Linked DNA regions of Rattus norvegicus. The protein of the gene in region 5 purifies or fractionates together with the protein of the main gene of each other region. This does not show direct contact. Links are inferred from orthologs where the notes say so. Each region holds a gene or a part of one and is shown on either strand. Other genes may lie near its edges.

Region 1 (4,252 bases), about 140 Mb from region 5:
GTGAGAGGGGAGCCAATCAGATGGCAGATTAGATGTCAACTCAGAGGCAGCTGTCTGGAGACTATTACAGCCAGTTTACCTCCACAATTCAAATTCCAAACCTTGCAAAGGAGAGATCAAGTCAGTCTTTAGGCTCAGCCTACTAGCAAGAAACAGCCAGAGCAAAAGGCACTTCCTAACAACGCTGTAGGACTTGGGCAACAGCAAAATCAAGAAAATCCACACAAATACGATCCAGAACGATCCATTTTCACTGGCCTACTACCTAGTTACGAGGTTTGCTGAATAAAAAAAAAAAAAAGAAAGAAAGAAAGAAAGAAAGAAAGAAAGAAAGAAAGGAAGGAAGGAAGGAAGGAAGGAAGGAAGGAAGGAAAAGTCTAACCCATGATCAAAATAAGTTCCATCGATCCGGAATCTATTCCTTCAACATCGCCTCCCGGTTGAAGGTGACTCCTTCCAAGGAGCCCTTAGCCCCATAATGGATCTCTCCCTGGCTATTCTTAGGAAACGAATCGATGTTATTTTACAATTTTTCGCCGCCTCCTCGTTGTAAATCTGGGTCTTATTCCTGCTGGTAAACATCCAAACTCCACCAGCCACGGCTGTCACAAAGCTAACCTCGTTTTCCCCCCCGCCCCTGCCTCGCAAGGGGAATGGGAAACCGACCGGGGCCCGGAGAAAGTTCCTCTCTCCCCGCGCCCACTCGGGGCACACCGTGGGCGCCGGCGGAGCCAGGCCCGGCCCTGGGGCCCGCTACCCCGAGAGCCCTCCCCGGGCGGGCGCGGCCTGGGGCACCGAGGTCCCGTCCCGGGCCTGGCGCGGGCACGCAGCACGCCGAGAGGGCGCGGGGCAGCCCGGCTACCCGGCCCCGCCAGCTCCGGCACCGGCCCGGCGGCGCCGCGCCCCCGCCACCCCCGCCAACCGCCGGGAAAAGTACCCGGCGAAGAAAGAAAGTCGGGCTCGCGGCGCGAGGCCCGGGCGGAAGCAGGCCCGGCCGGGCGCGGGGGTTACCTGGGATCTGCCCATGGTCGGTCCAGGGGTGCCGGGGCTCATCGCCGGGTGATTCCTTTGTTGCGCGGCCGCCCAGGCCGGGCTGGCAGCGGCGTACTGGGCGCCTAGGTCCTTGCCCAAGCCCATGCCCGCGGCCGCCTGCTGGCCACCCGCCGCCGCCCCCGCCGCCGCCGCCGCCTGGGACTGGGGCTGCGACGGCGGCGGCGGCGCGCTGGAGCTGCTGTAGTCGGGGTAGCTACCGCCGTAGCTCCGCATCATGGGGCTGGGCGAGGTGAGCAGCTGGTTGAGGGTCGGCGTGGCCCCCGACGGGTGCTGGTTCTGGCCGGCGAAGCGCTGGAAGCCCCCCGCCGCCGCCGCCGCACCGGCGGCCGCCTTGCTGAGGCTCGCGGCCCCGCCGCCCCCGGGGCCCATCATCATGCCGCCGCCCTGCTGCCGCGGGGAGCTCAGCACCCCGTACCCCGAGGACGAGCCCCCATAGCCGCCGCCACCGCCTCCTCCTGCTGCTGCTGCTGCCGCCGCCGCGGCCGCCGCCGCCACAGCTCCGGCTCCTGCTGCCGCTGCCGCTGCCGCTGCTCCTCCTGCTCCTCCTGCTCCTCCTCCTCCTCCACCTCCTCCGCTGCCTCCTCCTCCTCCTCCTCCGCCGCCGCCGCCGCCCGCGCCGGGCCGGCTGTAGCCCGGATAATGGTTGTACTGGCTGTTGGGGTACCCTTCGTGGGAGTTCTGCAGGGGGTCCATGCTGCTGGGGGCCCCGGCGGCGGCAGAGGCGGAGTGCATCATCCCCATCCCGGGGCTTTGTTGTCCGCCATGTTGATCAAAGCAAGGCCCAGCGCGGCCGCCGGGGCCGCCGCTAGCAGAGGCAGCGCTGCCATAGTAATTATTAAACTCCGAGACGGCCGCCGGGCCGCCGCCGCCGCCCCCGGGCACGGCGACCGGCGCGGGCTGTTGCTGCGCGCCCAGGCCTGGGTGCTCATAGCGGCTGCCCGCCGGCTCCCCCATCTTGGGCGGCGCGTCGTCCTCGTCGCCCGGCTTGCTCAGCAGAGGCTGGCCCTGCGGGTCAGCCTGACTGCCCGCGGCACTGTCCTTGGCGCCTCCATGTTGCGGCTGCTCCATGTCCGGGCCGGGCTGAGGCGCGCCGCCGCCCGCACCGCCCAGGCTGTTGTTGGCAGTGGGATGCTGCTGCTGCTGCGGCGGCGGCGGCGGCGGCTGCTGCTGTGGCTGCGGCGGCTGCTGGAACTGGTTTAGCTGCTGCTGTAGTGCGTGGTGGTGGTGGTGGAGGTGGTGGGCATGGTGGTGATGGTGGTGGTGGGCATGGTGGTGGTGGTGCTGCTGATGGGGCGGTGCAGCGGGGGCCTCGCCAACGGCTTTCAGTTTGTGGTTGGGGAGCAGCCCGGTCTCCATGGCCGAGCCGGGGCCCGCCGAGGAGGAAGAGGCCGCGACGGCGGCGGAGGAGGACAGCGCGGCGGCGCTTCCACCCTCCTTGAGAGCCGCCTCGGAGCCGCCGCTCTGCGCGCTGTTGGAGCTGGCGGCCGCCGCGGCGCTCGCGCTATGGGCCATGTTCAGGTCGTGACGGGGGTGCAGGGGGTGGTGGTGCACATTATTCAGGCCGCCGTCGCCGCCCCCCAGTATGGGGCCCGGAGCCGCCGCCGCCACCGCGCCGCGCGCGCCCGTCTCCAGGTCCCGGGCCCCGGGCGCCGGCCGCGGCCCCGAGGGCGCCCGCCTCTCGCAGCTGCCCGCCCGTGCCCGCGCCGCCGCTGCTGACCGCGCGGCCATGATCGCCGCGGCGTGGCGCGGCCGGGTGGGGTGGGGGGAGACAATGTCCCCACTCGCAGCCGGCCGCCCCTCCTGCGCGCATCCACGCGGCCCGCGGGGAAGCGCGGCGCCCTCCCCCCCCGCAGCCCCGGGCCGCCCGCCGGGGGCGCGCCTTTGCGCTCGGGGGCTCGCGCCCGCTACCGCCTGGACCGGCGGAAAGTTTTTTAGTTCCGCTTGCAATGAAACTTTTCTCTCTCCCTCTCTCACACACTCTCTCTCTCTCGCTCGCTCTTTTTTTCCCCTCTCTAGCCCGGATATGGGGGGGAAATGCACGACTTGCCTGAGCCTAATCGGGCCCAGCGCGGCGTGAGGGAGCCGAGCGAGCCGGAGCAACTATTATCCGCTTCTCTCCGAGGGCTGCTGCGCACTTGCAAAACGCGGACTGGACTCGGCCCCCGGCGCCGCCGCCGAGCGCACGCTCGCCCGCCAGCTCGCCCCGCTCGCTCCGCACTGCCTCGCCCGGCCTGGCGCGGGGGACCCGGCCTGGGGGAGCGGAAGGGGGGGACCGGCTGCCGGCGCTCGGGGCCTGAAGCTGTTCAGTCCCCTCGTGCCTCCGGTCTCCCTGCCAACCCGCGGCCCTGTGTTTGTTTTCACGTCTAAAGGGAGCGCTACGAAGGTGGAAAACGAGTCTGACGAGCAGACAAAAGAGAGAGAAGGGGCTGGGAAGCAAAGTTGTCTATTGGGCCTCAGAGGTGGTGAGGAGCCGATGGAGAAGGGAAACATTTAGGCAGGCCGGGCAAAAGCACTCAGTCTCTCTCAGGAGTTATGTAATTTTTCACAACCTTGGCCTCTGCGCCTGGATTTCAGGCCATCGGCGTAATTCCCACAACTTCATCCAACTGAGAAATTAGGAAAGACTTAAGTGAAGGTTAAGCCGCAAAGACTGCTGTGCCATGTACACAGCAGGCGCTCAATAATTGCTTATGATTCACCACCCTAATCCCCAAGGTGATGTTTATATAACTCTTTTTAAAGGCACCGTAAGTAGGTATGAAAACTCCTAGCATTCCCCACGGAGTATTTTTCTTATAATGCGTTTGGGTGTCCTCTCCAGTGTTAGCTCCAGACAGCATTCAGGAGACGTTTAACTATTAGTGCAAAAACAGCGACGGCTAAGGTTTATCTTGGGTCTTCATAAATCTACACGACGCCTTTCATCATATTTCAGAGGTTAATGTGTGCAATTAACCCTCTTGATATGAGTTCATTTCTAAGTAATGGGAAACAAAACCAAATAGATGTATTTAATAAACATAAAATCAATAATAATGCAAACAGCCTAATCCCAAAGCAGAAATATGCAGTAGTTGCCCATTTTAAAAAAGGTGCCCATAGTTTTAGCAGGATAGTGTTTTACACGATATTATCATGGAGTAACCAACCTCTTGACTGCCAAACTTCTTAACCTAAGCAACGGCTCCGTTGTGCTAGG
Region 2 (4,135 bases), on a different chromosome or scaffold from region 5:
GTAGAATCGGCTGGAGGTGTAGCTGAGAACGACCCTGAACTTCTGGCCCACCTGCCTCCTCCTGTGTGCTGGGATTTTTGGCGTGTACCACCAGACAGTTTATGCAGTCTGGGGTTCAAGCCCGGGGTTTTGTGTATGCTAGGCAAGCACTCTATAACCTGAGCTACATCCCCCAACCCGATTCTGAGGATTTTCAGTGCCTAGTGAAGTTAAGTAGCACTGATTGTATACCGTGAGTGAGGAGGTACCACATTAGCAGAGGGGTAGGTCTATAACATAGCTGAAGCCAGGAGTTTCTGAAAAGGTTCTCAACTTTTCAAAAACTAGGTCCTATACAAACTGGATAAAACTTATTTCACTACCTGGAGTTCTCTCAGCATGCGAAATCCCTTCACCTAAAAACATTTTCTGCGGAGTAAATTACCAGGCTTCCTTAAAGGCACAGAAAAGTTAGTGCGGTAAGTACTCTGAGCTGGACCAAGTCAAGCTTTAACCCAGCTAGGTCATATCTGGGGTCGCCCATGTCCTTGGAAGCGCTCAGCAATCAATATGGGTGGGTGGGTGTGGGGTCCTGGAAGGTGAACGCCTTGTACTACTGGCCTGGCTCCTCAGGCCCTGAGATAGGCTCTTAAAAAGTTTTTGGCGGCCATTCCGCCGCGGATCGCTTATTTTTTTTTTTTTTTTTTTTGGTTCTTTTTTTCGGAGCTGGGGACCGAACCCAGGGCCTTGCGCTTCCTAGGTAAGCGCTCTACCACTGAGCTAAATCCCCAGCCCCGGATCGCTTATTTTTAAGGCCTGGAGACGCGGAATTGACTGTTTTGGAGGGCTATGTCGGACATTTCGCTGAGACAGTAGTCCTCCGGAGTAAGCGGCAAACACCTAACCATGGTGACGGCCCTACGTGACCTTCGAACTCTGACCCCGCGCCTCTCTCAGCGCTTCCGCGTGCAGCTTCCGCTCCCGCTCCTCCGGGAAAAGGCGGTCCCAGAGGGCGGGGCTCTGAGGCCGTCAGTTATGGGCGGTGCTTGTTTGAGGCGGGTCTCGCGAGGGCGGGATTTAAAGACGCACTCTCGATTGGGCTGCCGGGCAGGGGCGGGGCCTGCCGAGGCCTGGGTTGGGCGGGGCTGGGAGTTCGTAACCGCCTCTGGGTAACTGGACTCCCGCGATCAAACCTCCGGAGGCCGGGAGAGGCCTGCGGGCTTGCAGCACATCCTGGATCTGGAGTATCCCTGGCAGGAGCGGAGTCAGAGGGGCTGCGGATCCTAAAGCTGGGCTGGGAAGAACTTGCGAACTTGGAATAGAAGATCCCGGAACCCGGTAATAAAATCGGAAAGTCCCGGATCGCGGAACAGAGCTCGCGGAGCGGACTCAACACGGAGACGAGAGGCCGGATCGCTGCACCGCGGGACGGGACAGAGTGATGTCGGGCCGTGGCGCGGGCGGGTTCCCGCTGCCCCCGCTGAGCCCCGGCGGCGGCGCCGTTGCCGCGGCCCTCGGTGCGCCGCCTCCGCCTGCGGGACCCGGAATGCTGCCCAACCCGGCGCTCAGGGGCCCGGGGCCTTCTGGAGGCATGGGGGTACCGGGGGCCGCTGCCTTCCGCCCCATGGGCCCCGCGGGCCCCGCGGCGCAGTACCAGGTGAGGAAGGCAGGCGGGCGGCGCCTCGAGGGCGCTGGGTTGGTCTCCCAGGGGCCTCAGGTGAGGACGGGCCGCCCAGGGGACACTGCAGGAGGAACTGTCGAGGGCTGGTGGCAGGCAGGCCAGAGTCCTTTGGTTAGTGGCTAGGGGTTGGAGGCAATGTTGGGGAAAGGGTGAAAGCCCTTTGCGGTGGAGGACTTAAGCAGTTAGAAGAGTCCCGGGAGTTCTTGGCATTGAGTAACTTAGAGATGGAGGCTTCGTGGGATTTAGAGAATTGTGGGCAATCAGGTTGAAAAGTGTAAGGCAGGTCCCGGAGTAGAGGTGAGGGAGTGACCCGGGATGTGGTGAGGAAATTTTGGAAGAGGGTCGTTAGTGAGAAAACAGGGCTACTCTTTCTTTGGAGTCGGTCCCACTGCATCTCTGCCTTGGCTGTTTTGTTTTTTGTTTTTTTTCCTAGTTGGGAACTGGCAGAGAGTTAGTATATCTGTGATGGCTCCCAGCTGCTCAAGTTGAAGCCTGGCTTCCTACGAAATGGGAGACCAAAGGGAGGGAGCCCAGATACTCCCAGGATAGATTAGAGATAGCGATGGCCAGGTCTGAAGAAAGCCCGATCGCATTAACAGACCCATCTAGATATCCTCTGTACTGGGCATTCTTCCTGATGTCAGTGTCCAGTAGTTAAGTTTGGAGGAGCAGGGAGGCTTTGTGGAGTCCTGCTGGTCTTGGGTTGCATAGGGTACTTCAAGACCCTTCTGTCTGGGAAGAGAGCAGTCTCAGGTTGCTGCGTCAAAGGTCGTTGACAAGCAGAGACAAGATCCTGTGGTCAGTGCACTGGGAACTCACCCAGCGGGACTCTGTATGTGGGGCTCCTCCTCATACCCCAGGGCTCTGGTTCAAGTTGCTCCGGGATATTTGGGAGTTTCATTTTGCTTTTCCTTTCGGTGCTGAGCCTGCACCGGGTGGAACCCCGGGCAGGCTTTGCACGAGGCAGATCATTGCTATCAGTGAACTGCACCTTTCCCAGAGTGCCTGGGACTGTGTCCATCCTTTCCCACATCCTTGTCACTTTTGGTCCTTGCTTTTTGATACAGGGTCCCATATAGTCTAGGCTGTGTAGCCAAAGCTGGCCTTGAACTCTTTCTGCCTCTCAAGTGCTGGGACTGCAGTCACGAAGGTCCGAAGGTGTAGCTTACTCTGTCCTCTGCTGGTGTCTCAGGTAGACGTCTCAGAAATAGATCTTCATGGAGCATGCATATTATACCCAGGAGTCAGATTCCTGAGGAGATACCTAACTGAGGGTTGGGATAAGTGACCCACTTCGCTTCTCTTTCTATCTCAAAAGAAAATGACGAGTTTGGGTATGAACAGGGATAGACTTGGTCCCAAGGATACTCTCTGGGGTTTATCTTTCCCATGTTGCTTTCTTTGGAGATTAATGGACCTTGTGTCTCACCGATGAGTACTGACATCAGTTATTCCAGCCCTTGGTCTTGCTTGCTTAGAACTGATCTGGTAGCTTCCTACAGACACTGGGGATATCTGGTTTGGTTAGTTTTCTGAGCCCTGGCTGTCCTGCAACTAATTATGTAGACCAGTCCCCTTGGCATGCAGCTGACAGAGAAGTACCCTTGGGAAAGTTCCTGTGAAGACGGGAAGATGGATTCCTGCATGCTTTGTAGAGAGTGACCTTGGGCCTATGCTGAGGCCAGGCTGGCCAGCTGGATAGCTGTGGCTACTAGTTGTGAGAAAGGAGATGGCCTTGAGTCTGGCATCTTGTTACCTCTTCCTCCTCCTCTTTGTCTTCCTCCCCTCCTCCTCTTCCTCCTCTGAAGGACAGGGAAAGGAGGAAGGAGAACCCCATTAACATGGGTTGAGTTTGAAGGAGACCCTGCTTGCTTTTTCCCATCCCTTCCAGGTGTCCATCTTCCAGAAAGGCTTGGGGTCTGAGGACAAAGGGGCTCCTCCTGGTTAGAGCTCTTGGGGGTGAGCAGGAAGGGCAAGGATGTGTGTGCTCAGGCTGGGCATGGGAAGGCTGCTGACATAAATTGATAGCTCATTTACCTCTAGAGGGTTTTTCTAGTTTTGGAGAACAATCAGCCTGAAGGGTTTAAAGTACCACGATCAAAACCAAAACAGAAAGCCTAGTGTGCATTATTGCCGGCTTCACTCAGCTCAGAGTTTAAAGTACCCTCTGTTCATAGGGCCAGGGTCTGGCCTCCAAATGAGGCTCTGAGGTTCAAGCAGCTCTTAGCAGGATCCCGGCTACAGACTTTTCTGGAGAGCAGAACATGCTTACTTGAGCCCTAGATTCTTAGCCCAGAGCTGGCAGGATGAGGTCTAGCCTACTTCCCTTATCTTCTTGGTGGTTATAAAATTTAGCCTAGAGGGTGGGCTTGGTGCTTGACCAAGTGGAAGTTACTGCATTCCGGAGTCCTGGGGACTTAAGCAGGCCTCGTACTCTGTGGTGGGGCAGGCTGGCCGAGAGGCTGAGACTCTGTT
Region 3 (4,294 bases), on a different chromosome or scaffold from region 5:
CCACTGTCTCTTGGTCTCTAATTCCAAAACAGGACTTATGGGCAGATCACCTGTGTGGGTTGGCCTGGAGCCAGAGAGTGAGGCTATAGAATCTTTGAAACCTTTTGGTTCCCAAGAGTTGTTTAGAGAACAGAACTCCCCCAGAAGGAAGCAGGGCAAAGCAGGGAAATGGACACTGACTGGGGGGCAGCAGAAGGGGCTCTGGGTGACGCATGCCTCTGGTCTAATAAACTGGGTTTCAACCATCTCTTCAGTGTTGGTTTTCTGTTTGTTGTTTGTTTTGTGTTGAGACAGGGTTTCTCTGTGTAGCCTCGGCTGTCCTGGAACAGCTCTGTAAACCAGGCTGGCCTCGAACTCACAGAGATCCTCCTACCTCCCAAACGCTAGGATTAAAGGTATGAGCTGCCAGCACCCTGCACTCTGGGTGTTAACCTTTAGATCGGAGCTTGCCTTGAGGGCCACACAACTAAAGAAATTTGGGTGGTAGTCTGGTGTGGTGGTTCCACCTCTAATTCCAGCGCATAGGAGATGGAGCAGCTGTTTTCCATCACACAGTGAGTTTAACGCTAGACCAGGCTATTCGAGACCCTACATACTTGATCAGGTAAAAACACTGATCCACCTGGAAAAGAACAAATTCAGGAATCCTCTGTTCCCTAGGCAGTGGACCAGCAAAGTAATCTAAAGCAACAGATATCCGGGTCTCTTTGGAGAAGATTCAAGGTAAAAGAATTCATTAAAATCTGAAGTTAAAGGTCTGAGGTGAAGGGCTAAGTTCCCGTGCCGGGGAGCTGTTAAGCCATTATTTATTTATTTATTTATTTATTTATTTATTTTTTTTTTTTTTTTTTGGAGCTGGGGACCGAACCCAGGGCCTTGCGCTTCCTAGGCAAGCGCTCTACCACTGAGCTAAATCCCCAACCCCTTAAGCCATTATTTATAAGATGAGGCCCTGGCTACCAGCCAGGAGACCCGAATCCAGGATGGCTTTTCTCTTATCTCGATTTGTCTTTGCCACGACATTCACCTCCTTTGAGTTCAGCTTTTCCGTTTGTAAAACGAACAAACAGCCTGTTTCCCTCTTTAGCATCCGGAGTCTGATCCGTAGGAAAACAAAAAGCAAACCAACCAGAATGCTTTGGAGAGGTAAACGCACTGGGCCGAGGTGAAGCATCACTCCAGCCGCCTGCGGGGTGGGCTGGGCTCTTTGCAAGGCCTTGACGTCCTCCAACCGCCCGGGGGCGCTCGCTCCCGGCACTTCTTTATCAGCACACCGCCTCTCTATGGTGCTCCCTCCTGGCCCGTGAAGGCGGGAGGGAGTGGTCAGCACGCCTTTCCCGCTAGTCGCCCCCTCTAGCCCGTAGTCTCGCTGCCCCGAGCCGCCCGTGCCCGCCGGCGGGCCGGGCCCACAAACAGCCCAGGCGCTCGGGGGGCGCGCGGGGGGCGGGGGGAGTTCCGGTTCCGGTTCTTTGTGCAGCTGCAGCGGCGGCTCCGGGAAGATGGCGGCCCGGGCGGGTTTCCAGTCCGTGGCTCCGAGCGGCGGCGCGGGAGCCTCAGGAGGAGCGGGCGTGGCGGCTGCTCTGGGCCCGGGCGGAACTCCCGGGCCTCCCGTGCGAATGGGCCCGGCGCCGGGTCAAGGGCTGTACCGCTCTCCGATGCCCGGGGCGGCCTATCCGGTGAGTGGGACAGGAGGAGGGGCGCGCGGGCCGGGGGCGGGGCCGAGCGAGGGCGGAGGACTGACAGGGGTGAGGGAGAAGTGGGAGGGACTCCCTAGGGAGGGGCTCGGGCCGGGAGTGGAGGTGGGGGAAACTGAGCGGAGGAAGAGTGGGGGGAAGGAGGTTAGCATCCTTACCTGCTCCCAGCGGCATTGTTTCCGTGTGAGGAGCGAGTGTGGAACCAGGGTGGGTGAAGTGGGCCCTGGGATGGGCATGGGATGCAGAGGGGAATGGGCAGCCCCAGTGTCTCCAGGAACACCCAAGCTATTGCAGCAAATTGAGGTCAGCCTTAGAGGAGACAGCAGCTAGTTTAAAAAAAGAAAAAAGTAGGACTAGAAATGTCTGATGAGTCAGATCCAGCATAGATCAGAAAATTCAAGTATAATCTAGTTTTTAGACTATATTCCATTAAATCACTAGTAGGCCTGAAGAAGCTCCAGTTACCATATTTCAAAGAAGCAAAGGATTGTCTTGTCCTCCACTCTACCCACCCCCCAGCCCTACCCCATCCCTGAAATCCAGCCTTCCACCACTTTTCCTTCCTTGGTGGGGCTAGCATGGAAAAATATGACATCTCTTGGTCCTCTCCCTTCTGTAGAGACCAGGTATGCTGCCAGGCAGCCGAATGACACCTCAGGGACCTTCCATGGGACCTCCTGGCTATGGGGGGAACCCTTCAGTCCGACCTGGCCTGGCCCAGTCAGGGATGGACCAATCCCGCAAGAGACCTGCACCTCAACAGATCCAGCAGGTCCAGCAGCAGGCGGTCCAAAATCGAAATCACAAGTAAGATGCCCCCTGGGGTGAAGGAAAGACGGGGATGGGAGGAGGCCTGTGAGGATGCTGATGCTGGGAGTCCCCAGGAAGTCAGGCGCTGCAGTATCAAATGGTGCTGCAGGGACTCACCCTTTTGAAGGCTCTCTGGCCTCGTGATGAAGTGGAGTTTTTGTGGTACTGGGAGATGGAGAGTCATCCCGTAGGCCGTAGTAGCTGTACCATAAATGGAGGTGCTCACAGCGATGCTCATGTTTTGACTAGTTCCTATCCCAACCTGATAACAGTATTTATTCTGAACAGTGCAAAGAAAAAGAAGATGGCTGACAAAATCCTACCTCAGAGGGTGAGTGCAGCAGCTGTAGAGGCCTTCCTGAAGGGGTAGTGGCTTTGAGAATAGAGGTGGTCAGCTCTAGGGCCTGACCCTATCTTTCTGTTCCTAAGATTCGGGAATTGGTACCGGAATCACAGGCCTACATGGATCTCCTGGCTTTTGAAAGGAAACTGGACCAGACTATTATGAGGAAACGCCTGGATATCCAGGAGGCCTTGAAGCGGCCCATCAAGGTACCAGGAGAGTACCAGAGGGTCACAGGAGGGAGCCAGGACGCTCCACCAAGCTTAGGAAGAAAACCCAAAGGCACAGCACATCTCTCTTTGGCATTTAAACTGCATCTTTCCCTTCTGCCTGCAAACCAGGAATTACATCAGGAGCATAGGAGTGGGGCGGCTGGCAAGGAGAGGGGGGGCTTCCCACTCTCTTCAGCAGAAACACACCCTGTCCTTGTTTTTGCTCCTCGCTACCTTGGGAACCTGCCACTTTGCACGACTTTGTCTCCCTGGCACCCTGGCACATTTACTCAGGCCCAAGTCAGGGCCTGTTTGCTCCTCAGTGGAGTCCTTATCCATCTACAAAGCCAGCCTGGTAGGAGTGACCTGGGAGCTTTAGGGAACCTTGTGCTCTTGAAGCCCCACGGTCAATCCTGTTTCTGCCTTCCTCAGCAAAAACGGAAGCTGCGGATTTTCATTTCTAACACATTCAATCCGGCTAAGTCGGATGCCGAGGACGGGGAAGGGACTGTGGCTTCCTGGGAGCTCCGGGTAGAAGGACGGCTCCTGGAGGATGTGAGTTCAGGGTCCATGGTGGTTGGTGCTCAGGGTGGGAGCTGTTGGGAAGGAGCAGTGCTGTGTGGTCAGCAGGAAACCTGACTGGTGTTCACCACTCCTGCTGGGAGCTTCCGGAAGGGGGTTGGGGGTGCTGTGTTCCCTGCCTACAAAGACAATGGTCCTTTGTGCCTACTCTCACAGCTTCTCTGGTATCAAGTGGAAACCTTTGTTGCTCTGGGGTCTGGGTTGTTGTTTACTTTGCCTGGTGATGCTGCCCTTCGGATTTCAGTGCTCACTTATCCCCACCACCATCTGTGCTTAGTGTTTGAGCCCATGTTTCCTCCCTTAGGTCCTTGAGGTTATTTCTGTCTTCCCAGGTTTCATTGGAGGCACCACAGTTTAAGTACGATAGCCCCCCCAAAGGCTTGGCTCTTTGTTGCTCATCAGACTAATGAGCACCCCAGACTCTCCACCCAGCAGCTCATTGGGGAGGCTCGCCGTTCCCTCAGAGCTCTGCACTCTGACACTTTTAAACTGTGTGCAAGTGAGCTCGTCTGATGCACTTTTGCTGGGGAACCGAGCTGCCTCTGGGTAGGTCCAGGCTATTTGCTGGTCATGTGTTCTGTCCAGAGAAAGGCAGGTTTTGTTCCCCTGCCTCTGGCCTGGGATTCATTTGCCCTCTGCTGTCAGGCTTTCCT
Region 4 (3,500 bases), on a different chromosome or scaffold from region 5:
CTTAGGTTCAATTCCAAGAATACAAAATAATTAATAAGTATAGTAAAAATATTGATCATAATTATTACATATGTGTTTGATAGTATGGTACAAATTAACTACGTCTAAATTCACTTAACAGCTAGAGACATAGAGTTAATTGTTCAGTTAATTCAATATAAGTGTGAACAGTGGTTAATGGTGTTCTTAGCTTAATCAGTTTGAAGTACTGATGAGGAAATGACAGTGGTGATGAGATCCAGTGAGGTAAAGATAAAATGACATCATAAGTTGGCAGTTTTGAAGCAGACTGATGGCTACAGATGAGTTTGATATTGTCGTCTTTGCTTTTGTTTGTATTTAAACGTTCCCATATTAGAGTATTTTTAAATGACTATATACTTTAGTCACTAATACTGAATTTTCAACTATTAACTTTTTAAGGTCTGGGACCAAGTAAAGGCTTCCAACCCTGACCTAAAGTTGTGGGAGATTGGCAAGATTATTGGTGGCATGTGGCGAGATCTCACTGATGAAGAGAAACAAGAATATTTAAACGAGTACGAAGCAGAAAAGGTAGGAGGACCACCTTCACTCATTATTTATAGAAGAAGCAAAGCATGACCAGACACCTGAGGCAGCACTAAAGTTTTGTCCACCAAGCCCCACTCACCTGAGTGGCACATTCTCTGTTCAGAAGGAGAGATGACTGTCACAGAGGGCCCCCCCCCCCCCCCCCCCGTCTGTTCACCTTTGCCCTCTGATTCAGATGAACAATGCAGCTGCCCACGGTGACCTGGAGAGTGGAATGTACATTAAAAACCAACCCTTTGAATTTCAGATAGAGTACAATGAATCTATGAAGGCCTATCACAATTCCCCTGCATACCTTGCATATATTAATGCAAAAAGTCGTGCGGAAGCTGCATTAGAGGAAGAAAGTCGACAGAGACAGTCGCGCATGGAGAAAGGAGAGCCTTACATGAGCATTCAGCCTGCGGAGGACCCAGACGGTAAGGTGGAAAGTGGGGCGTTGCGTGTGCTCTCTCTGAATTAGGGAAGAAATCTTAGTTCAAGGCTTTTATTTTTTTAAATGGGAAAGCATAATTTTGTCTTTTCAATAATAAGATTTTTGTGTATGACTTTCCCATGGTAAAAAATACTCCTTACAGAGTGGAAAGTTGTTAAGGGAAAAAAAGCTGTACTTTTACTTTTCAAAGTCTTTATACTTAGAATAAAGGATTTGTTTGATTTTTTTCAAGACAGGGTCTCACTGTGTTGTCCAGATTTACCTGATTCTCCAATCTCAGCTTCCAAATTCTGGGTTAAGTTTTTGCTGACACTCCTTGCCTTAGTCAGGGTTTCTATTCATACACAAACATCATGACCAAAAAGCAAGTTGGGGAGGAAAGGGTTTATTCAGCTTACACTTCCACATTGCTGTTCATCACCAAAGGAAGTCAGGGCTGGAACTCACAGAGGGCAGGAACTTGGAAGCAGGAGCTGATGCAGAGGCCATGGAGGAGTGCTGCTTACTGGCTTGCTCTGTAGATTGACCTCGAAGGCAGACATCTGCAGGGCTCTGTCTCCTGTAATGCTGGATGGGATTAAAGGCCTGTGCCAGCATGCCTGGATCTAAGCTTTTCTTCACCTAGAACCTGCTTTGTCCCAGGCTAGCCTTGAACTCAGAGATCTGTTTGGCTTTGTCTTCTGAGATTAAAGGTGTAAACCACCATGCCTGGATCTAAACTTAGCTGGATGGGATGATACCAAATCCTTAATCTGTTACCTCCTAAGACGGGATTCAGCTCCATGTCACTTCCCGGTGCCCCTTTAATACTTGAACCATGTATTTTATATTTTTCCTCTCTAAGCTCGCTACACTTGTTCAAAACCCTCTTCATGAGACGTAACCTGAGAACAAAGTCTCTATTGGGCTTTTTTGAGACTTCCTTTGTCATGTAATTAATTTCTCTTTACCTTAGACTCCGGCAGACTTCAGACAAGGGCAAAAGGCAGCCAAGCCGCATTCTTCACCAAAATACCACAAAAATAGTCTCTAGGCCTCATATTGAAATTCTTTTCCACTGAACCCTCTTGGGCCAGGTCTGTAAGTTCAAATCCAACTCAGCACCAGTGTCTTCCATATTCCTACTAGGTGCCTCATTAAGCCCCACTTAAAGCGTTCCAGTGCTTTCCAGATCCAAAGTCCCAAAGTCCACATTCATCTAAATAAAAATCATGATCAGGCCTGTCACAGCAGCACCCCACTCCCAGTACCAATGTCTGTCTTAGTTAGGGTTTACTGCTGTGAACAGACACCATGACCGAGGCAATTCTTAGAAAGACAGCATTCAATTGGAGCTGGCCTACAGGTTCAGAGATTCAGTCCATTATTATCAAGGAGAGAATATGTCAGCTTCCAGGCAGGCATAGTACAGGAGAAGCTGAGATGAGAGTTCTACATCTTCTGAAGGCTGCTAGCAGAATACTGCGTCCATGCAGATAGGATGTGGGTCTTAAAACCCATATCCAGTGACACACCTACCCCAACAAGGCCACACCTTCTAATAGTGCCACTCCCTGGGGCAAGCTTATACAAATTGTAACACACTCTAACCTGATAAAATATATGATTTTCGGGGGGTTGGGGATTTAGCTCAGTGGTAGAGCGCTTGCCTAGGAAGCACAAGACCCTGGGTTCAGTCCCCAGCTCCGAAAAAAAGAACCAAAAAAAAAATATATGATTTCCCTTTGTGTGTGTTTGGTTTTTTGGGTTTTTTTTCCCCTTTCCTTTTAACTTCCTTTTTTGTTTGTTGGTATTTTTTTTTAGACATGGTATCCACATAGCACTAGCTGTCCTAGAACTTGCTATGCATTTCAAGTTGGCCTTAAAACTCACAAAGATCTTCCTTCTTCTGCCTCAAGCATGGGGATTAAAGGTGTGTGCCACCACACCCAGGTTCTTTTCTAAAAAGTTAAATGCCTTACAGTTACACCCAGTCTTCTTTTTTTTAAATGTGTGTAGCAAGCCTGTAGTTTTGTACACGTGAGTGTAGTGCCTGCAGATGCCAGGAGTGGGTGCCATTCTCTGCAGCTGGACTTACAGGGAGTTGGGAACTGCCTGACGCGGGTGCTGGGAACTGAACTGTGGTCCTCCAGAAGAGCTGTTCATGCTCCTAATCGGCTTATCCAATTTATCAATTACCTAAATTTGTTCTTAGGAGCAAATTAAACTAAGCGCTCTTAGAGCAAAATTTAATGAGTGTATTATAAAAGCCTTATTATTTTAAAATCCAGTATGAGTATGAGAATGCCACCCATAACATCACTCATGAGTACACATTACACACAGACAGCCAGGCTTCTGAGTTAGCGTTCTATGTACAGATGGACAGATTACTCTTCTGGCCCTTAGTGGCCAAGTAAAGGCATTTAACTTTAACTGAAGCTGCAAGGGGTCCAAGATAGCCACTTCCATTAAAGAGGGTGCTCATCCACACACCCAGCATGCTGGGTAA
Region 5 (4,207 bases):
GAAAAATTACAAGTAATAAATGTCCATCTTGACAGACTAAAGACAAGTGTGACAAGCTCCCGGAAAACACCATGAATGTACTTGTGTTCTGAACTTAGATGTAGAATTATCTAATGCATGTTGTCACATCTGGCTTCTTTTGTTGCAGACCCATCCCCACCATTGCACATAGCAGGACTTTGGTTTTTCTGGTTGTTTTGTCTGTGCTCATGGTATAAACAGGTTGTAACTGGTTTTCCATTCCATTCTGTTGAGTGGCTCCCAGGTTGGTGCTATTATGAAGAGTACCGAACTTCCCAGTATACATATCTTGGTGTTCATACAGACACATTTCGTCCTAGTGAGGTTTCTATTGCTGTGATAAACACCGCATCTATTTCAGCTTGCAGTTATAGTCTGTTATGAAGTCAGGGCAGGAACTTAAAGCAGGAACTGAAGGAGGCCAGAACTGAAGCAAAACCTTGGACGAACTTTGCTTACTCACTTGCTCCCCAAGGCTTGTTCAGTCTGCTTTCTTAAAGTGCCCGGAGGTGGCACTGCCTACAGTGGTCTGGCTCTCCCACAACAACTATTATCAAGAAAATGCCCGGGGTTGGGGATTTAGCTCAGTGGTAGAGCGCTTGCCTAGCGAGCGCAAGGCCCTGGGTTCAGTCCCCAGCTCCGAAAAAAAGAAAAAAAAGAAAAAAAAAAAAAAAAAAAAGAAAATGCCCCATAGACTTACCTGCAGGGCAACATGATGGAGGCGTTTTCTCCATCAAGGTTCCCTCATTCCAGATAACCCTAGCTTGTGACGAGTTGACAAAAAAGAGGCAGCACATATTCCTTCTGTTGAGTGTTGCTAGTTTGGGAGTGGAAACTGTTGGAAGACGGGGTTGGCATAAGTTTTTCAATGGAAGACTGCCAGTTTTCCAAACTATCTCTACCAATTACACACCCTGATTCAAGGAATGGCAAGTTGCTCCTCTGCTACTTCATCTACATGGTCTTTTTCACTCCCGCCATTCTGATTGAGGAGGCCGGCTCTCCACTCGCAGAGTCTGGCTTGTACTAGGCGCTGTTAATGGAACTGTTCAATGAATGAATGAATGAATGAATGAATGTATGAATGAATGAATGAATGAATGAATGAATGAATGAATGAATGAACAAGTTAAGTTGGGCAGCTTAGAATCAAACAGCCTGGAGAGGGCAGACGCGCGCACACAGAGCATTTCAGGGACGCCCACCCGCCGCGGACGCACACCAGGACAGTCCCTCTCGCGCACCCCTGTGCCCACGTGGCCGGAACGCACCGCCTCGTTCGGGCCGCGCGCGTCCAGCCGCACCGCTGCCCCCCAGCTCTCCCTCTCCGCGGCGGGCAGAGGGCGCTGTGCGTCCGTGCGCCCCGAGGGGCGGGCCCGGGCCGGGGCGGAGCTGGCCGGGCTTCCAGGCCGGGGCTCTAGCCGCCCGCGCCGCCCGGGCCGCTCCGGGGACGGGCCGGGGCGGGGCGCGGTCTCAGGAAGCCAGGCGGGGACGCGCGGAGGCGTTGGGGAGCGAGGGAGGGCGCGGCCAACTCCCGGAGGGACGGCAGGCCGAAAGAGCGGCGCCGGGGCCTGGCGCGCAGCCTGAGATCGCCGGACCGCAGGCCGCCCCACCACGGGCTCTGTCCCGGCCCTAGCCCCGCCAGCATGGCCGGCCGGACCGTGCGGGCCGAGACCCGGAGCCGGGCCAAAGATGACATCAAAAAGGTGATGGCGACCATCGAGAAGGTCCGGAGATGGTGAGCGCTGCCCCCGGGTCAGGGATACAGCCAAGCCACCTCCTCCAAACGCGTCCGCCCTTTCCTGGCCCGCTGCCCCCGCCCACCAGCTGTGATCTAAATCGACAGGGCGCCCCCTTTCCTTGGCAATTCCCAGAGGTCTACAAAGCGTGGTCCGGAGTGGTGCTTTCCCTGAGCGGGAGCCCTCATCTATGCCCCGCCCCCTGAAGCTTTTGACACTCTCGCAAGCTTGGCCCGGGGTCTTCATTGCCTGAGTGCCTGGGCAGGCCTTGGTGGCGCCCTGCTGAGTGCCCCAGGTGTCTGCAAAACCGCAGCTCCAAGTTATATCCGTTTATGCTTTGCCCTGGGGTTTAGAGGGCTCTTTCTGCTTCTATGCCGTGTAAACGAAGCTGTCCGTACCCTAGCACACCTCCCTGACCTCCAGTCTGTGGGGCTCACCCTTGGGCCTCCCTGACCCAGTCTCCTGACCTCCCACAGGGAGAAGCGCTGGGTGACTGTGGGTGACACTTCCCTTCGAATCTTCAAGTGGGTGCCTGTGGTGGATCCCCAGGAGGAGGTGAGCAAGCCCAACCCCCAACATGCCTTGCATCTGTGCAACCTCAAGCAATTTCCCTCCCCTTGGCCTCCACCTTCAGTCGGCTTGGAGACTCCACTGTGGAGCCCAGGCAGATGGTAACGATTATTAGGGGGCATGAGCACGGAAGCGCGCGCGCGCGCGCGCGCGCACACACAAACACACACACACACACACACACACTTTCTCCAAGTTCAAGACCTAACTCGGCCTACACAACCTGAGGCAGCACCTTTTGCTTCTCTGAGCCTAGGTTTCCTTATTTGAATTGAAGGACTTTGTAAGAGCTCCCTGGACAAACTAGCTCTGATCTTACTTCTCTAACCCTCAGGAGAGGCGGCGGGCAGGAGGAGGGGCAGAGAGATCTCGTGGCCGGGAGAGGCGTGGTAGGGGCACCAGTCCCAGAGGGGGTGGCCCCCTCATCCTGCTGGATCTCAATGGTATGTAGAGATTCTGGAATAGGGGTGGGGGGGCTGGGTGCTGAAAGAAGCCACTGGGGTCCTCTGGCCAACTAACTTGACTTTTGCTTCAGCAGATGAGAACAGCAATCAGAGTTTCCATTCCGAAGGTTCACTGCAAAAGGGCACGGAGCCCAGCCCTGGGGGGACGCCCCAGCCCAGTCGCCCTGGATCACCAACTGGACCTCCAGAGGTGATTACAGAAGATACTCAGCCCCCACAACTGGGCCAAGAGAGAGGTAGGACCATGTGGCTCTTGGGAGTCCTCTCCTCACCAGAGTTGAACCTACCGCCTTGTATGTGTTTCTATATTGTGTTGTGTCCCCCCCCCCCTCCCCCGTCCTGCCTCCCTCAGGGAACCTTTCCTGACCCTGGCAGAAATTACCTCTGGCTGTGCCTGGCTCATTCCTTGGCATCTTGGATTTGTAGGGAGCGTGTCGCCATCTGAAAACTTTATGTAAATGTACTTTTTGCTTGCTTATTGCCTCTCTGTTACCATCTCATGTCAGACACACTGATCTGGTTCATGTGGGACGCATAATAGATGTTCGGCAACTAAATAATTCTGATAACCCTAGGGATTAGTAACCGTAGATTAACAGCTGACAGAACCACTTATCTGTTAGTCATTCTTCTGAGCACTTCAATGTTTTGTGGTTTGTTTTCTCATTTAACCCTCACTGACATTTTATGGAACCAATGATCCTATGATGATTCCTATTTATACACGAGGAGCCCAACATCCAGAGAAAGATGCCCAGACTTGCAGAGCCAGTGCGCCAGCTCCTCGGCCTTCCTGTAGTCCACCCCCCCTTCCCAGGCATGGCTGACTCCCGTGCCTTTGGCGCTCCCTTCTCACTTCTCACTTGCACTGGCTCTCGCCTCCACATGCTACAGCTTTCTTAGAGCAGATTCCAATCGGCCATTTTCCTGCTTTGTGTCCTTCGTTGGCTCCCGTGGCCTTTGATTCCTTCGTTTGAACCAGAGGCCTTTATAAACTGTTGCTACTGAAATTGTTCCCCTGTCAAGAACACCATGACATGGGGCTTGGGACCACACCTAGGTTGTCCCAAATACTTTCGCTAATATGAAATGATGGGGCAGGGCATGCAGCCCAGTGCAGGTGCTTGTCTGTCATGCCTAAGGTCCTAAGCCCCATCTCTAGTACCACAGAAATGAATGAATGAATGAAACTGCTAGCTGGCACTTCTTGAGCACATACTATGTGCCGTGTACTTGATCCACACAGCAGCCTCTCATGGTGTTACTGTCACTATTTCCATTCTGCGGATGACTGAGAGTCTGTGGTCACTAAGCACATATTTCTATCTGCCTAAATTCTACTCTACCTCCGTTTGCCTCCTGGCTCATTCCCTACTGACAAGATCCAACTTGAGTCTTCCTTCCTCAGCAACT
Region 6 (4,300 bases), on a different chromosome or scaffold from region 5:
AGTCCTCACCAGCATAGCCAGCCCTCACTGTATATGATCCAATGTCAAAAACAAGAGCGCCAACTTCATCTGAAGAGATTAAAAGAGAATTACAGAAGTGATTAAAAGAGAACTACAGATGTCTTTAATCCCAGTAAGGGAGGCAGAGGCAGACAGATCTATGAGTTCCAGGCCAGACTGGTCTACAGAGCTAATTCTGGAACTACACAGAGAAACTCTTGTCTCAACAAAGTAAAGAACATATTTTATGTATATAAAATGAGAATATTTAAAACTTTGTAAAACTCCATTACATAACACATAATTAGCTAGAATCTAGTTTTTACGATTGTTGTTTTGATATAATCAACCTCTATGTGATCTTACTTGTCGCAAAGTTCCTGTCTCTGACTCTTAAGTGGGATTAAAAGTATGCACCACAATGTCTGGCTTGAACCTAGTATTAAATATACCTTCAAGATTTATTTAATTAAAATATGGTGAGTCATACACTGTTCATCAGCGGAGGTTTAGTCAGGAAAGATATGGTACACTGACAGCAGGTAGTAGTTCCTTACTAAAGGGACTAGTTATAAACATCTATCATCCAGGTACAGAAGGATGAACAAAGGGACATGTCCTCATAATCCTTGAACTGAGAAAACAAGAAACTGCTAACAGAACCTAGGATTTTTGTGGGGATGGCTGTTGGGAGCTGTGGTAACAGCTGAAATGAGGCAGAGAGCTAGAACTGCCTATCAGGGAGGAAGGACCAAGCTCACAGCCTCCAGCCTTCAGGAAACTATAAGCCAGCATCCAAACTGGGACATCAGAGCTTAGAATGTAATTTATACAGGCCAAGTAAAAAGCATTTAATGAAGGTACTATTTAACTCACACATTCCAGACATTAGGGGATAGTTTAGTGATGAGAAAAAAAGCTGGCAATTTTTTTCAGTCTAATTCAGAGAAAAGCCTCCATTTATATTTTCCAAGTACTTCACCCCAAACAGCAGGCCTCCTAGGATAAAGTGCTAGTTTGTCAATGGGTCCCCTCCCAAAAAATTTAAAACACTAATCCTACTTACCTACATTACTCAACCTTAAGAAAAGTTCTATTCTCCAGTTAAAGCTACAAATCACCACAGCCACTCTATGCAGTTTAGTGCTAGCTACAAAGAGGCACCCAAAGAGAAACACAGAGCTATTTAGTTTAGACATACCCAGTTTAAGAGAAATTCATATTTTAAAAGGAGATGCATGTGCAACTGTTTGAATGAAAATGTCTCCTAGACTCTGATATCTAAACATCTGGGCCCCAGTTTAGTGCAATCTGTGGATATTTAGAAGATGAGGGCCTGATGTAGGAAGCTGTCACTGGGGACAGGCTTTGAGTTTAAAGCCCCCACCATTTTCAGTTTGCTCTCAGCTTCATGCTTGAGGTTGGATATGTGAGCCTAGACTCCTGCTCCTGCCACCATGCCTGCTGCTAGATGCCATGCCTCCCTCATACTGGACTCTTATCCCTCTGGAATCATAAGCTAAAGTAAACTCTTCCTTCTAGAAGTTGCCTTGGTCATTTTTGTTTTGTTTTTTAATCACGGCAACAGACAAGGGACAAATACACTATGTGAAATGTGTAATTTACTAACCTCTTTGCCCCAGTTTGGTCAGTAAAGAGTATTTAATACTTATCTCATTGGATACTATGACTAAATGTCTTCAATGTTTTAATGTATACTTAAAATAGTGCTGGTAAGCAATAAGCCCGATAAATATTAGCTAATAGTAGTAGTTACTCTTGTCACACTTCTTGCTAGGGAAATGACTACAGTTAGAGAAACTGCTACAGTTCGTTCTTACAAAACAGTACACAGCAGTTAAAATGTGTGGGCACAGATCTACTGACTCGATACATTTATAAATTTATAGTGTGAGTATACTATTTAACTCATTAGGGGTGCATGTTACAGGTACACGGCCGAGAAAGGAATGCCTTTGCCTCAATCCAGAAGCTATTTGCTCCCAATTTGCAAAGAAAGTCTTTTAACTTTGAGCTGGTTGTTTAACTCTTCCCAATGCTTTCTTCTTCGTTAACGTGCAGGATAGCAGCACCATCTCCTGTCGGCATCCACCCTAGCGAGGAGTCTCTAACTAGTTAACTACTTTTAAAATAAAACAAAACCAGTGCTTGAAAGCCTTGATTTCGTTATCGCCAATTTATAAAAAGACTCCTGGCCAGTTGGCCAGGGGAACAGCAGCCTGTACCTCAACGCTCCGCTCATCTAGGGACCAGGCACACCTGGAACGATGTCCAGTCGGAAGCCGCAACACCGGGCGCGACTCAGAACCAGTGCCCACCCGGAGGGCCCGGAACCTCCGCGAGCTTCCCGAGACTAACCCGCGGCGGAACCGGTACAGCGAGGGACCCGGAGTGCCAGGTGACTGCCAACAGAGTCCAGCCCGTCCTGGAGCTCCAGGTGTAAGACACGCCAAGGCCCTTCCTTGAGGCCATCTCGGAACCAGCAACAGTACAAGCCGGAAACCTACTGAGCGCGGGCCCTGGGTCCGAAGAGAAGGAGAGGCCATGGCCCAAACGGGGACCGGAAGCACCGGCCAAAGACCGGAAGGGCCCGCCGAGGACCGGAGGGAAACGGAAGAGACCAGGGACCGGGCCGGTCGTTCCGGCCCGCACGCCCCGAGGCGCCTCTGCGCTCACTCACCTCCGCCGTACACGCCGCCGCTCATAGCTACTGTTGGGCGGGGACTGGCCGAAGACTACTGGGCGAAAGATAACAGCGGCGCGACTCGACTCCCCAAGAATGCCGACCCCGTAAGCCTGCAACTTCCAACGCCGCCCCCTCCGGCAACAAAGCAGCGGCCGCACGCCCGCTGCACAGCCACTCTTGCTGGTTTCTCTTGTCAGCCAATGACAAGAGGCCCGGCTTAGTCTTTAGCCAATCAGAATGTGGTGCTGCTGTATCCCTGCGCGGTTTAGCCGTCTTGACCAATGGAAGGCAGCCATGGGGAGAAGCGACGGAAGAAGGGAAGGTGTTGGGGAACGGGCAGGAGGGGGCGGAGCTTCGCGGGCGGGTGAGAAGTGGGTGGGGCTTCTACACGCAGACGGGATTGTGGGAGGGGCTGCTTCGCAAGAGGGTGCGAACTGTGCTTCGCGCGCAAATGGAGTGGGAGGAGTTTTTAGGTGGGCGGGCGAGTGGGAGGAGCTTTGTGCGGGAGTGGACCGGGTTTCTAAAGTGAGTTAATTAGGTACTGGGAAGGGGCTTGCCTTGGGCCATCAACCGCTCTTGCTTCTGAAGTGTGGCCGCTCCCCAGGAGCCATGGGAACTTAGGCAGAGAAAGGAGAGTATCTGCAAGGAATCTGGAATTTGAGTTAGTTACCTCGAAGAGATTCCTGGTCTGGGATTGTGATGGATTTGGATTTTTTTTTTAAGCAGAAAAAACTTCAACTAACATTTATACTTGAAAAAGAAATGTGTACTACACTTTGAAGTAATCGGCAAATCAGATATAATAATCGGATTCATCATTTTTTAAAATGGCTATTATAATAAGAGATCATATGTTTTCCCAGCTAGATTCAGATAGCATTTAAAAATCATTACTTTGGTTTCTTTCATTTCTGTGAAAATCATTCACCAAGCAAGTGGAGCACCATTCAGAGAAACACCCGTTTGTAAATATATCCCCAATCTGTGTCTACTGTTCTTAGACTATGTTTCTATCAGTGTCCAGAACACTGTCCCCAAAACAATAAGTGCAACAATTTGTCCCTCTGCTTCTCTGGGCTTTAGTTAGCTTGATCTACATAACAAAAGGTCCAAAACTCAAGTATAATGTAGCTCTCTCTGTAACTGGTAGCAGTGCTTAAATTGAAGTGTCTAGTGCAAGCGTTACTAGCAACCTTAGAAGGGTTGAATAAAATTTCATCCATTTCCATGCCATCCAGGTGGCAGAAATTGACCTGTCATAGGGTCAGGAATAATGCAAGTAAGAAACCGCTTTCCTGTTCACTTGACACTGTGCTTTGAGCTCACAATGATGGTTCAGGTTTGGGTTTTTTGAGACAAGGTCTCATGGTATAGGCCAGGCTAGTCTCCAAGCTGTAATCCTCCTGCCTCTGCCTCCTGAGTACTGGAGTTATAGGCACGTGCCACCTTGGGTATTAGTACATTTTGAATGATTCAAAGATGTTTTTAAGAATGCTATGATACTCCCGTGTCAGAAACATTAAGCTGCTTTATTGGAGCATAGCCAGGCTTATTTGCCACTGTGACTGAAGCTATGTGCCTGGTTGAGCTGTA
Region 7 (3,500 bases), on a different chromosome or scaffold from region 5:
TATGGATCTCAACCTCTGGGCTGCCTGCCTTTCTCCCGGCTGTGCCACCTGTGTCTGACTCAGCACTTCTGAGCTCATCTTCTGGCAGGTTCTAGGCTCCTGTTGACACCTGACTGCGTGTCACTCACCGCTTCTCGCTCCCGGTCCATTATCGTCTCCAGTTCCTCAAAATGTCGGAGTTTGATCTCTAGTTTCTTCATCTGGGTCTCCACCAACAGAGCCACCAAAGACTTGATCTTCCTCTCCTCGACAGCTGCCAAGTGCTATGTAAGAAGTAGCGGTCGTCTCAGTCAGTCGGGCGGGCATTAGCCAGAGCGCCCAGCTGCAGAAACTCCGGGAAGGTGGGGAAGGAAGGGGCAGGGCAGATGCTGCAGAGGCTGGCAGGTTCAAAAAGGAAGTAGCTGCAATCACAACTAAGAATAGTATAACTGTAATTTATACATGTACTATATATTATAATACACAGTAATAAATATTATACATTATATAGTATATATTATAATATATAAGTATATAATATATTCACGATCTAGATATATCTGTATTATGAAACAACACATACATACACACATATATGTATATATATATATATATTGTATCTTTATCATGAAAAAAGAGATAAGACAAGTAAAAGAAATTAAAGGGTTGGAAATAGCTACTAAGAGAGTTAAGAAGTTTGGTGATAGCTCACTGGATTAAATAAGAAAGGAACGGGCTGGAAAGATGGCTCAGTGGTTAAGGGCACTGACTGCTCTTCCAGAGGTCCTGAGTTCAGTTCCCAGCAACCACATGGTGGCTCACAACCATCTGTAATGGGATCTGATGCCCTCTTCTGGTGTGTCTGAAGACAGCTACACTGTACTCATATATAATAAATGAATAAATCTTTAAAAAAAAATAAGAAAGGAACGAACAGGCCAGCACTATTTAAGGAGTGAGAAGAGAATGGCTGGCACAGGATGAGGAAAGTGTGCAGCTTCCGAGGGCTGCGCTCACCTTGGCCTTGACTGCAGCAGCAGCCAGGGCAGCGGCCGCAGCTGTGGACAGGTTGCCTTCACCAATGTCGCGCTCCACCTTGGCTTTCCTCTCCCCCTCTGGCTCTGCAACTTCCTTCAGCCCTTCCTCCTGCCCTTCCGTCGGCTCCTTGTCTTTCTCTGGATCGACTGTGTCAGGACAAAGGTGAAATTACCCTTTTCCCTTGTCTCTCCTGTGCCCCTCGCCCTCTGGGGAGGCCGCTCACCTATTGGGTCCCCGTCACTCTTCTCTGACTCCTTCTCACTGTCCGCTTCTTTCCCTTTCTCTTCATCTTTCTTGGGAGCTTCACTTATTTCCTCCTTTGCTTCTTCCTCTACAGCACCTCCTCCTTCCCGAGGTTCCTGCAGTTCCAAAAGGAAAGAAGACATCAGAGGATGCAGCTCTCACAGGAGGCCCAGACTGGAGGCTGACTGGCCCTCTTGTCCTTATCTGTCTCTGTGTGTGCACATGCCAAAGCCAGAGCAGAACAAAATGTTGGGTATTTTATTGCCTTGAGACAGGTCAGCCTCCAACAACTGGGTCCCACAACGATGAGGTCGCAGCACATAAAATGATGCCAAAGCTTCTGTGTGGGTCCTAGGGGTTCTGGGTCAATTTTCAGGCTGTAGAACAACACTTATCCAGTGCTGTGACCCATCTCTTCAGCCCTTACACAGGGTGCCCTAGCTCCAGGACAATCTGTCACTGGATCCAGCCCCACTGGGATTGCCTCTTCAGCCCCAGGTCACTCCCTCTATACCTTTGGCTCCTTCTTCTCATCCGCTGCCTGGCTCTCCGCCCGTGCCTCCTCAGTCCCGCTTTCCTCTGGGCCCATGGAGGAAGGAAAGAAAGGAGAGATGTGTGATAATTTTCGTTTATGTAACAATTTCCCAGTAGCTGAAACCTCGGTGACAGAGACAGGAAAAGTCAACTTTCCCACAGTGATACCATGAAGGAAAACAAAACGCCACGGGCTTTCTCTCCCACTTGTGCGGTGACTGATGTAGACGTGGGCAGGAACAGGGTGGGGAGGGTACAGCGAGCAGCGAGGCCGGCTGACTCTGCTCTTGGAGATGGGAAGAAATCTAAGAGTGCGTGCTCACCAATGCGCTCAGGCTCGTCAGAGGCCGTCCCTGCAATGCCGCTACTCTCCAGACCGAAAGCTGGGTCTGCCTTGCCTGTGACTTTGGCTGCTTCTTCTACCTTGCGCACATGGGCTTCCACCAAGGCTGTGGGCACCTCTTCCTTCATTTTTGAGAACTCTTCTGTGAGACCAGAGGGGAAGAGGCTGGGATGAGGCAGGTAGGCTGTTCTGACTGACCTTTCTCATAAGCCCATCTCTTTCTCTGAGACCAAAATCAAGCTCAGAAGGTGCCTGAGCTAAGGCAGCCTCAGACGAAGCCAGCAGGGTAGAGCTGAGAGGTTTTAATCGGAGTATCTAGCTGTAAAAGCAAAGGAAGAAGGCCAACCCCCCATCCCCAAATTACCTAGGGCTGACTTTGCAGCAGCAGAGGCAACTCGGGGATCGACGACAGAGGCCAGGAAGGCAACAGTGCTCATAACAGGGTTGCCTGACTGACTGAAGGGGATGGGCTGGTAGGCCAGAGGGCCTAGAGAGGCCTCTGAGTCCTCCAGGTATGGGTCTTCAATGGGAAGGCGAAGGAAATGCAAGATGCACTCATCCTGCGTGCGGCTTCCCACATGCTCAGACACTTTGTTCCAGTCGTCCTTGTACATTTCCAGAGCCTGGTGGTAGTGGTGGAGACAGAACTCCGCTTACTTAGCCACTTTTCTAGAAGGTCAACTCCCTCCATCCGACTAAGGGCAGTTGTTTTCAAAGCTCTTTATGTTCTGGTATTTCTGTACTCTGCTGGATCCAGGGGGTGGGGGTGGGGGGTCTCCAAGTAGCACAAAGAAAGGATATGGAATTACAGACAGGCCTAAATCCCTGACCTGGAGCTATTCCTGGGGCAGCTATGACAGGCACCAAGAAGGGGAGACTGAGGCAAGCTCATGTTCCACTCAGTGCCAAACTATGAGTGCTCCCAACTAAGTGCTCCCCACTGCCATGGCAGCTGGGTCCCAGCCCCTGCGTCCTTACAGCATTCCCCTTGCTTTCCCCAATTACCTCCAAGAGCAGCAATGTCTCCTGCTCTGTCCATTCCCGAGTGGCACTAGCTGCAGCTTTGCTCTGTGGGGAAGCAGAGTAAGTCAGCACAGAGGAGTCTAAGCTGTGTGAGAGAAAGCTATCAACCCCAGGTTGGCTGCACCCTGTACCTTGGAGGGGATGTTCTTCTTGGTGTACATGTCTGTGCGCAGCCCAAAGTTCTGCATGTCTGCTGGCTTCTCCTTGCCCTTATCAGGGAAGTTCAGCATCTGCTGGGAAGCAGAGCCCTGCTATTTGTGGAAGGAAAAAAAGGAGGTGAATGCAAGTGGTCACAGGGAGCCAGAGTCAGGAGAGAGAGAGAGAGAGAGAGAGAGAGAGA

Evidence for each region.
Region 1: the proteins of Bcl7c (region 5) and Arid1b purify together in Homo sapiens (affinity purification with mass spectrometry; 4 studies listed by BioGRID and IntAct, counting the BioPlex papers as one, with this or other methods). This does not show direct contact. The link is inferred for Rattus norvegicus from reciprocal best matches to the Homo sapiens genes BCL7C and ARID1B.
Region 2: the proteins of Bcl7c (region 5) and Smarcd2 purify together in Homo sapiens (affinity purification with mass spectrometry; 3 studies listed by BioGRID and IntAct, counting the BioPlex papers as one, with this or other methods). This does not show direct contact. The link is inferred for Rattus norvegicus from reciprocal best matches to the Homo sapiens genes BCL7C and SMARCD2.
Region 3: the proteins of Bcl7c (region 5) and Smarcd1 purify together in Homo sapiens (affinity purification with mass spectrometry; 5 studies listed by BioGRID and IntAct, counting the BioPlex papers as one, with this or other methods). This does not show direct contact. The link is inferred for Rattus norvegicus from reciprocal best matches to the Homo sapiens genes BCL7C and SMARCD1.
Region 4: the proteins of Bcl7c (region 5) and Smarce1 purify together in Homo sapiens (affinity purification with mass spectrometry; 5 studies listed by BioGRID and IntAct, counting the BioPlex papers as one, with this or other methods). This does not show direct contact. The link is inferred for Rattus norvegicus from reciprocal best matches to the Homo sapiens genes BCL7C and SMARCE1.
Region 6: the proteins of Bcl7c (region 5) and Actl6a purify together in Homo sapiens (affinity purification with mass spectrometry; 3 studies listed by BioGRID and IntAct, counting the BioPlex papers as one, with this or other methods). This does not show direct contact. The link is inferred for Rattus norvegicus from reciprocal best matches to the Homo sapiens genes BCL7C and ACTL6A.
Region 7: the proteins of Bcl7c (region 5) and Smarcc2 purify together in Homo sapiens (affinity purification with mass spectrometry; 4 studies listed by BioGRID and IntAct, counting the BioPlex papers as one, with this or other methods). This does not show direct contact. The link is inferred for Rattus norvegicus from reciprocal best matches to the Homo sapiens genes BCL7C and SMARCC2.

What each region holds. Positions count from the first base shown.
Region 1 is NC_086019.1:47,972,545-47,976,796, reverse strand, and holds the start of Arid1b (AT-rich interactive domain-containing protein 1B), read right to left. Parts: upstream 2,801-4,252; 5' UTR 2,782-2,800; coding exon 1,012-2,781; intron 1-1,011. UniProt on the Homo sapiens protein: Involved in transcriptional activation and repression of select genes by chromatin remodeling (alteration of DNA-nucleosome topology).
Region 2 is NC_086028.1:91,699,609-91,703,743, reverse strand, and holds the start of Smarcd2 (SWI/SNF-related matrix-associated actin-dependent regulator of chromatin subfamily D member 2), read left to right. Parts: upstream 1-1,335; 5' UTR 1,336-1,420; coding exon 1,421-1,636; intron 1,637-4,135. UniProt on the Homo sapiens protein: Involved in transcriptional activation and repression of select genes by chromatin remodeling (alteration of DNA-nucleosome topology).
Region 3 is NC_086025.1:132,707,133-132,711,426, forward strand, and holds the start of Smarcd1 (SWI/SNF-related matrix-associated actin-dependent regulator of chromatin subfamily D member 1), read left to right. Parts: upstream 1-1,494; 5' UTR 1,495-1,499; coding exon 1,500-1,676; intron 1,677-1,726; exon of another isoform or gene 1,727-1,901; intron 1,902-2,313; coding exon 2,314-2,501; intron 2,502-2,792; coding exon 2,793-2,835; intron 2,836-2,933; coding exon 2,934-3,056; intron 3,057-3,491; coding exon 3,492-3,614; intron 3,615-4,294. UniProt on the Homo sapiens protein: Involved in transcriptional activation and repression of select genes by chromatin remodeling (alteration of DNA-nucleosome topology).
Region 4 is NC_086028.1:84,662,674-84,666,173, reverse strand, and holds part of Smarce1 (SWI/SNF-related matrix-associated actin-dependent regulator of chromatin subfamily E member 1), read left to right. Parts: intron 1-423; coding exon 424-555; intron 556-820; coding exon 821-992; intron 993-3,500. UniProt on the Homo sapiens protein: Involved in transcriptional activation and repression of select genes by chromatin remodeling (alteration of DNA-nucleosome topology).
Region 5 is NC_086019.1:191,751,842-191,756,048, reverse strand, and holds the start of Bcl7c (B-cell CLL/lymphoma 7 protein family member C), read left to right. Parts: upstream 1-1,407; 5' UTR 1,408-1,667; coding exon 1,668-1,759; intron 1,760-2,236; coding exon 2,237-2,315; intron 2,316-2,664; coding exon 2,665-2,773; intron 2,774-2,865; coding exon of another isoform or gene 2,866-2,868; coding exon 2,869-3,030; intron 3,031-4,207. UniProt on the Homo sapiens protein: May play an anti-apoptotic role.
Region 6 is NC_086020.1:117,419,231-117,423,530, reverse strand, and holds the start of Actl6a (actin-like protein 6A), read right to left. Parts: upstream 2,801-4,300; 5' UTR 2,727-2,800; coding exon 2,702-2,726; exon of another isoform or gene 2,529-2,701; intron 2,371-2,528; exon of another isoform or gene 2,247-2,370; intron 70-2,246; coding exon 1-69.
Region 7 is NC_086025.1:1,487,003-1,490,502, reverse strand, and holds part of Smarcc2 (SWI/SNF related, matrix associated, actin dependent regulator of chromatin, subfamily c, member 2), read right to left. Parts: intron 3,412-3,500; coding exon 3,292-3,411; intron 3,206-3,291; coding exon 3,143-3,205; intron 2,761-3,142; coding exon 2,502-2,760; intron 2,280-2,501; coding exon 2,118-2,279; intron 1,840-2,117; coding exon 1,775-1,839; intron 1,377-1,774; coding exon 1,241-1,376; intron 1,164-1,240; coding exon 997-1,163; intron 264-996; coding exon 129-263; intron 1-128. UniProt on the Homo sapiens protein: Involved in transcriptional activation and repression of select genes by chromatin remodeling (alteration of DNA-nucleosome topology).